2 linked regions of the Caenorhabditis elegans genome follow. The protein of the gene in region 1 interacts with the protein of each later gene in a pairwise test. Each region holds a gene or a part of one and is shown on either strand. Other genes may lie near its edges.

Region 1 (3,164 bases):
GATGTACCTGCAGAACATCTCTAGTCATAATAGAGAGCAAAGAGTTCTCAATATCCACGACAACTGATAGTCCTTCGTCGATCAATCCTGACAAGTAGTACAACGAAGACTCTAGGGCGTATACCTGAAATAATTATTTATTGAAAATATAGTGGCAATAGTGTACCTTCAGTGCCAATTCAGTCACAATCCTTTGTGATCTCGAATCGTCCGCTAAAGTTGTGCGATCATTCTGCCTACTCGGAGTTCGATTACACCAAATCGATAGTTCTCTAAGTGCTCTTCGAGCCATTCCAATTGTGGCGGCTGCGAATGGCATTCTACCACTACCGACCAGCTCCGATGCAATTTCGGAACCGTGTCCGGGTGTTCCAAGTAGATTTTTGTCTGTTACCAATGCAGTGAGCTCGATGCGCCCAACGTCAATTCCTTTCAGTCCGATTGTTTCGTCACGTGTAAATTGAATCTTGTCGGTGGTTCCCAGTTCAGCTTCATCGAGTAGAAAGCAGGTTTTCTCTCCGTTGTTCTGAAAATAAATGTTAATTTAAAGAGAACAGAAATTCCTACTAACATTTCCGAAAACGACGTAAAAGTTGGCATTGTGATGACCCATAACTCGGATGTTCTGACCATTTAACATTGATTTTCCACCAGGTCCAGCTGTTTGTTCACAGACTCCTCCATTCGTATCTTTTACAATTGCAACCGCTGGTCGAAGCTTTCCAGACCCAAGAATTCCTAAATACTTGGACTTTTGTTCATCAGATCCATAAATTGTCAAAATGTTTGCGACAAGAAGAGAAATGTGTGAAGTTGTGTATACATTCCAATCTACACTGAGTTCTTCGAAAACTTTCGACAAATCCTTATTACACATGCCGATGCCGTCGAAATATTTTCCAATAGCCAAGGAAAAGATTGCATTCGAGCGAAGAGCTTCTATTGTATCTGAAGCTAGTTTCCCTTCTTTTTCTATTAATTTCGAGTCAACTGATAATTCAAGTGATTTCCGCAACACATCCACAAACCCTTCAATATTACGCACATCATCTGAATCTGTGTATTCTGGGTAGATCATGAAGTCCTGGAATGATATGTTCGCATAAACTTATATTTGCAAAAATTCAAACCTTTTCAAACTTATTCATAGCGAAACCTCTCGACAAGCTCCTCTTCTCGATAGACGAAGTATTGTCGAGAGTTCGAATAGCAAATTTACTGAAAAAAATAATAGTTTCATTATTTCTGAAAAAACATTACTGAATAATACCTTTTCTCACTTATACCAGCCACTTCTTTTGATTTTGCTGCATCACTGAGACATCTCACATTGCATTTATGCAGTTTTTGTAATCGGATCAACGCCCGATGCATCTTAATTTGAGTTTTAAGCAAAGAAACAGCGCTGAAAAATTCAAAAATAATATGGCCGGGAAAATTGTTTAGGGTAAAAATCGAGTTTTCTCGGCCACGGCCACGAAGTATTAACGCGCTAATTTCAAATTTTGAAGTATCATTTAATCACGCCCAGTCTCGTGGTGGACCCGTCCGGAAAAATCAACGTGCCTTTAATCTCGCGCATCTGAGTCTCTACTTTTTACATGTTCTCTCACTTGTGAAGAGTACGGTATCACGATTTCTAGACGCTCTAGGTTTTATTTTTATAATTTTGATCTAATATTAATGCGCACTGATCTGAATTTCGCCGCCAATTATTTTAACATGATTTTTCCTTGTTGACAATTCATATTCATTTCATTTTTTCACATCTACGAGCTTTTTCTTATTATTTTAATTTTTATCGTTCTCTCTTAATTTCCTCTCTATCTTTTATTTATCAAAATCGAATATTTCTTGCAGATGCTTGCGATTCCCAAAACTCCAACCAGGAACATGAAAACACCTCAGGGGAATACAAGCGCCAGCAGACGTGAAGTGGACACATCGATGAGGAATCGGTTCGAGTTTGCCGGATCTTCGCTCAGAGACAGGATTGGGTCAATTCTATCCATGGATCAGACCCCACGTCCGGCAACTCGCGCAAATATCTTCATGGGACGGACACCGACACCGGCCAGGCACCTTCCGGAGAGCCGAAGAATGTTTGTGCCGGATTACACTTCAACGCCTGCACCTACGGCTCCTCGACAGGAATTTCGCTTCGAAGACTTGTCTCGGATCGTGGCACCTCCAATTGAGCAAACCTTCATTCAGCTGGATTCCGATGGAGAGCTCACTCTTCCCGCTGAATCATCAATTGCAGTGTCTCCACCACCGCGACCATCTTCTGAGCCTCTCCGCCATCTCAGCCAAGTCTCGCTGTCAGCTCGCCCAGCTTCAACGGAGCCTGTAAGAAGAGACGTACACTGGAGAGTGCATCCTTCGGCAAAGGTTTGTGTTTAAGAAACAATAAATGTGTTCTAATAAAATGTTTTCAGATCCGAAAATGCACAGTGCCGAAGACACCATCCTTCGCGAGGCCAACGAAGTCGTGGCTGAACCGCGTTAATCGCGAAGACTGATCGCCAATGCGATGATTCCTGTTAATTTATTTTATTTCTTCATTCTTTGTTCAATATTAACTACTAACCCGGTCATTTTTTTCTGTAAATAAAACCGGTTGCTCAGCTAATTGATTTCACATCGGCACCGACGGCACCGATACATTTTAAGAATTTTAAATCGCGTATTCGGTTCAAAACCTTGAATGCAGTGTTCATACGCAAACAGGAATTTGACATGTAACCCGGATTCGCTGTTTGTTTCGTGCACAATGTGGACACATTTCTTGTTGTCATCAGAAACATTCTCAGATAAACGTTTTCGCTTCTATTTAGAAGAAAAAAGCAGATATATTTAGAAATGGCGCTAGCTCCCAACACGACATAATTAGAAATGCTTTTTCATCTAAATAGCAGAGCTTTTTAACTAAATAGGTCTACTCTTTTCTAAATATAAGCGCATTTTTCTTCTAAATATGTCTACTTCTTCTAATTAGAAATACTTTCTTCTTCTAAATAGTTCTACTCTTTTCTAAATATAAGTGCGTTTTGCTTCTATTTAGACTCGGTTTTCGCCTCCTATATAGACTCGGAATTTTTAAAAGTGAATTTTTGGAAAATGTGATTTTGGATTCCGGAAAAAAAAAAAGATTTTCTATTCAC
Region 2 (4,773 bases), on another chromosome or scaffold:
TTTTTATAGACTTGGTAGTTAAAAAATTAATCTGAATTCCGCGTATTTTGATATTTCAGAAAGCAAGCAAATGTATTTGTAGTTCGAATGAGCTTTTGAACATTCCAAAAATCATCGTTAGAAGGCTTTTTCTAAAAATGGAATCTCTGGAAATGTTGGAGTGGTGGATTGAAAGAGTTGATCCGAACTCTCTAAATGAGCTGTGTATTGCTCCTCATGGAGAATATCCACTTGATATTCCGTCCAAGATATTTGATCTTCCACATGTAAGTATGTTTATTTTTGAATATTTTTGGTACAATACATTTTCAGTTCCAAAATTGCAAAACACTGAGTATTATGGAGCACTGTTCTTTCTCAACCGACCAATTTCTAGCATTGTGTATTGCAATTCCAAATTTTTCTTTTTATTCGGACAGAATTGATGAAAATATAGTTGCTCATGCGATAAAGGTATTGAAAATCATCATGGAATGAAGAATTGTTATTTTTCAGAAACGTCTCAGCTTAAATGATCAATTTGTTGTCCTAGAATGGTTTTTCACTAAACACGTGAATGTTGAAAAAGTCACAGGAGATTTGAAGTGTACGAATTATGATAGAAAGTGAGCAGAAAACTGATGTTAGGCAAACTAGAATTAATTTCAGAGAGCGCTTTGATGTCAAAACTGAGTGCTTCGAGCCAGTTGATGTATACAGTGTTCCAGATGAGAATAACAAGAAAACGTCCTTGCTGGTTTTGAAAGATTCAACTGACAATTTCAAACCGTATAACATTGTTGCGTTTTCATAATTTTATGTTTTGAGATGCCGTCTTGGAAATATAGTGTTTTTGAAGCTAAATATCCTATCTCATGTATTAAATAAAATTGTTATAGTATCTCTTTCCATCCATTTTAATCGTCAAAGAAAGGCGTGTAAACCACGAAAACTTACCACTAATCCAAAAAGAGAAGCTGCCTTCTCTCCAAATGACGGTAAGACGTGGAAGACACGTGGTAAAAATGTATTACGTACGCCATAAAATATACGTATTAATCCATTTAAAATTAATTTTTCTTTTATTAACATCTGGCATCGTTTAACACACGTGCAAATGTTCTGTTACAAGCCCAAAAAGGTTCGTTGCTAATTTTTAAAACATTAATGTACAAAATTATTGCAGAAAGTACATTGAATAATAAATTTTTCAATTTTTAAAACCGTTTTTTAAATCAATGTCTCCGTGATATTTATGTTTGACCAGAAAATGTTTGATCGATGACAGCGCGCTGTTTTGTTTAGCACCCTTTTTCATCGGCGCGTAAATCGACACACGGTTCGCTGCGAGACCTGCGCCCGCCAAGCATCAACATTCGAATTTGCCGTCCGCCATTTTCGTCCTAAAATGACTTTTACCGATTCTTTTTCAAGTTTCCAGCTCGCCTCTTGTCATTTTTAGAAATAAAAACGTTTATTCAATTATTAATACTGAATATTTTAATTTTTGTGTTGCATTTCAGATGAATCGACTTCCCAACATTGCAAAACCCCCACAAAAGTCCAACCAAAGAAAGGAGAAGGCTCCACCAGAGGTTCCCGCTCTCATCGCCGACAAGGATCGTGGGACCTATTATGAGAAAGGACGATTTTTGGGCAAGGGAGGATTCGCTCACTGTTATGAGCTTACGAATCGAGCAACACGCGAGGTTGTCGCTGGAAAAGTGGTTCCGAAGTCGATGCTCGTCAAGCAATACCAGAGAGATAAGGTAGACAATGAACGAATCTTAGTTCAGTGCATATTACGATTTTTCAGATGACACAAGAGGTGCAGATTCATCGAGAGCTTGGACACATCAATATCGTGAAGTTATTCAACTTCTTCGAGGACAATCTCAACGTGTATATCACTTTGGAGTTATGTGCAAGACGGTCGCTGATGGAGTTGCACAAAAGAAGAAAGGCGGTCACCGAACCTGAAGCTCGTTATTTCACTCATCAAATTGTGGATGGCGTGCTGTATTTGCATGATCTGAACATCATTCATCGTGATATGAAGCTTGGAAATCTTTTCCTCAATGATGATCTAGTTGTCAAAATTGGAGATTTCGGATTAGCAACAACGGTCAACGGTGATGAGAGAAAGAAAACGTTGTGTGGAACGCCAAACTACATAGCTCCGGAGGTTTTGAACAAAGCTGGACACTCATTTGAAGTTGACATTTGGGCAGTTGGATGCATTCTGTACATTCTTCTTTTCGGACAACCACCATTCGAGTCTAAATCGCTTGAAGAGACATACTCACGCATTCGCCACAACAACTACACCATTCCGTCGATCGCAACACAACCAGCAGCAAGCCTAATCCGCAAGATGCTTGATCCTGAGCCAACACGTCGTCCGACTGCCAAGCAGGTAATTTCAATAGTTTTGAACTGGAGTGAAAATCATTTTAGTATTATCGGAGATTCGAGTTTCATCATTAGAAAATTTGTACTTTTGAATTTTATCGTGAACTTTTATTGAGAGATAGTTCACGTTCAGTTTGATTGCCCTTCGTTCTAATTAGTAAAGAGATCGAAAACAATTTTTAAAAAATCAGTTCGAATATTTAAATAAGTTATGAAATCTCTTCAACTCGGAATGAAAACCCTACAGGTTCAACGCGATGGCTTCTTCAAGTCAGGATTCATGCCGACTAGACTTCCAGTCTCCTGCCTCACTATGGTGCCAAAGTTCGGAGGACACGAAACTTCGATGATGGAGGAAAATGTTGCTCCAAGAGGGGTTGATGCTCGTTCACAACGCCCATTGAACGGAAGAGCTGGATTGTCTGCCCTCCCACAACACATCGTGTCGAACAATGCCGATCGTGAGCGTGCTCAACAACAAGCTGCAGAGGCGACTTTCCGGGAGCCCGAGGATGCATACCTTTCACAACTTTTCCACCAAGTTGCTGTGCTCTTAGAGCAGCGTATTCCAGGGGTAAGAATAAACAAGAGGTTTTTTTTAAATTAAAAGTTTGTTACAGCTGGAAGAAGAAGAAGCTGCTCTTGATGGTTATCAATCACCAGAGTGCCTCCCGGTTTTCTGGATTTCGAAATGGGTTGACTATTCGGACAAGTATGGCATCGGATATCAACTATGTGACAATTCCGTCGGAGTTCTCTTCAATGACAATTCTCGTATCATGCTTGATCAAGCTGGAAACGAGTTGACCTATATTGAGAAGAGCAACAAAGAGCACTACTTCTCGATGCACTCAGGTGAAATGCCTGGATTGCTCAACAAGAAAGTCACATTGCTTAAGTATTTTCGATCCTACATGAATGACCATTTGGTGAAAGCTGGAGAAGGATCTGAACAAAGAGCTGGTGATGACTTGGCTCGTTTACCAACGCTTCGAGTTTGGTTCAGAACCAAATCAGCAATTGTTTTGCACCTTTCCAATGGAACTGTTCAGATAAATTTCTTCAATGTAAGCAAATTCATAATTTAATGGAAACACCCAACAATATAATTTTCAGGATCATGTCAAGATGATGATGTGCCCATTAATGCAAGCAGTTACATTCATCGATCAAAACAAGCGTATGCTCACCTACAAGCTGAACAATCTTCAGCGCAATGGATGTCCAGAGGTTTGAATCGCCATTTCAGTATCAACAAATATAACGTATAATTTACAGAAATTCCTTCACCGACTGAAGTATGCGAAGACAATGATCGAAAGGTTGATGAGCGATGCTAACGTTGTATCCCAGAATCCAGCTCGTCAACCGGATATGCCACGGTCAATGGCAGCTGCTCGTTCAGCTTCGGCAGGATCACGAGGACCAAATCAAGCTGCATCGCACCTTCCCCAGTCGGCAAGTGGATCCAATATTCACCCACGTCGATAGATCCGTATGTGCTCTTTGCCACTTCCATGAATTTGCTTACATCTCCTGATTAATTCCAAGAAGTATTATTCTATACATTTAACCCGTACTCTTCATTTATTGTTGCTGTTTTTCATCGACCCTTTTAGTCCCATGTTTCAGCATCCAACATGTCTTTATTCCCCGTCCTCGATCTCCCGTAGCTCATTTCATTGTAAATACTGATGAGACCCGCTGTAGCCCTTTTTCATTCGTTTGTATTCATGGGCGAGGCGATTTTTATTTTGCGTTTTTATTTCTTTTTGCTAATTGAATCATCTTTTTTTGGTATTAGTCCCACGAAATAAAACGTACCGATGATTATTAAACTGTATTCTTCATTTTTCCAAACTTTCTCGACAATTTCATTTTTGGTAGATAGCAGCACATTGGGAAAAATCAAGTTGAGCTGCTCATCTGCCTCAACTTTCCATTTCAGAATTTTCGAAAAAGCGTGTATAATATTTACTGATTCCGAGACAATTATTTGAACATGATTGTTACAAAGATCACGGTCGCAAAGTAACAAATGTTCTGTTTAATTACTTGCCACTCTGAACAGTTTCCGTCACTTATTTTATATCCAAACAGGTTCGATTCCAAATAGTCTCAAATTATGCCAATGGGATCTGCTTTACTGTAACAGTTGGACATAAACTGTTATATGAAATCAAAAATACAATAGTTTAAATTGTTTTTGCTCTCTGCTTGAATTTTGGATTTCTAGAGATCTAGAGCAGAGCTGAGCAGCCGGCCAAAAAAATCGGCGATCGCCGATGAAATTTTTTTTTCGGCGATCGCCGATCACAAATTGCCAAAAAAAAATCGGCGATCGCCAATTGCCGATTGCCGATCAGTGTGCGTCTAATTTTT

Evidence for each region. The genes of interacting proteins can lie anywhere in the genome.
Region 2: the proteins of mesp-1 (region 1) and plk-1 interact in a two-hybrid assay, tested with the Caenorhabditis elegans proteins (2 studies listed by BioGRID, with this or other methods).

Annotation. Positions count from the first base shown.
Region 1 is NC_003282.8:8,497,450-8,500,613, forward strand, and holds mesp-1 (MEiotic SPindle), read left to right. Parts: upstream 1-1,860; 5' UTR 1,861-1,893; coding exon 1,894-2,391; intron 2,392-2,438; coding exon 2,439-2,522; 3' UTR 2,523-2,627; downstream 2,628-3,164. Other genes in the region: acdh-13 (Acyl-CoA dehydrogenase family member 9, mitochondrial), read right to left, coding at 8-124, 167-526, 572-1,084, 1,131-1,218, 1,271-1,374.
Region 2 is NC_003281.10:8,099,846-8,104,618, forward strand, and holds plk-1 (Serine/threonine-protein kinase plk-1), read left to right. Parts: upstream 1-1,502; coding exon 1,503-1,748; intron 1,749-1,795; coding exon 1,796-2,395; intron 2,396-2,638; coding exon 2,639-2,965; intron 2,966-3,011; coding exon 3,012-3,458; intron 3,459-3,507; coding exon 3,508-3,621; intron 3,622-3,669; coding exon 3,670-3,882; 3' UTR 3,883-4,224; downstream 4,225-4,773. Other genes in the region: K06H7.1 (uncharacterized protein), read left to right, coding at 1-14, 60-266, 313-453, 496-605, 649-793. UniProt on the Caenorhabditis elegans protein: Required for oocyte nuclear envelope breakdown before entry of oocyte into spermatheca. In meiotic cells, required for spindle dynamics and probably for spindle attachment to the chromosomes. Zygotic role in the development of the germline and nerve cord.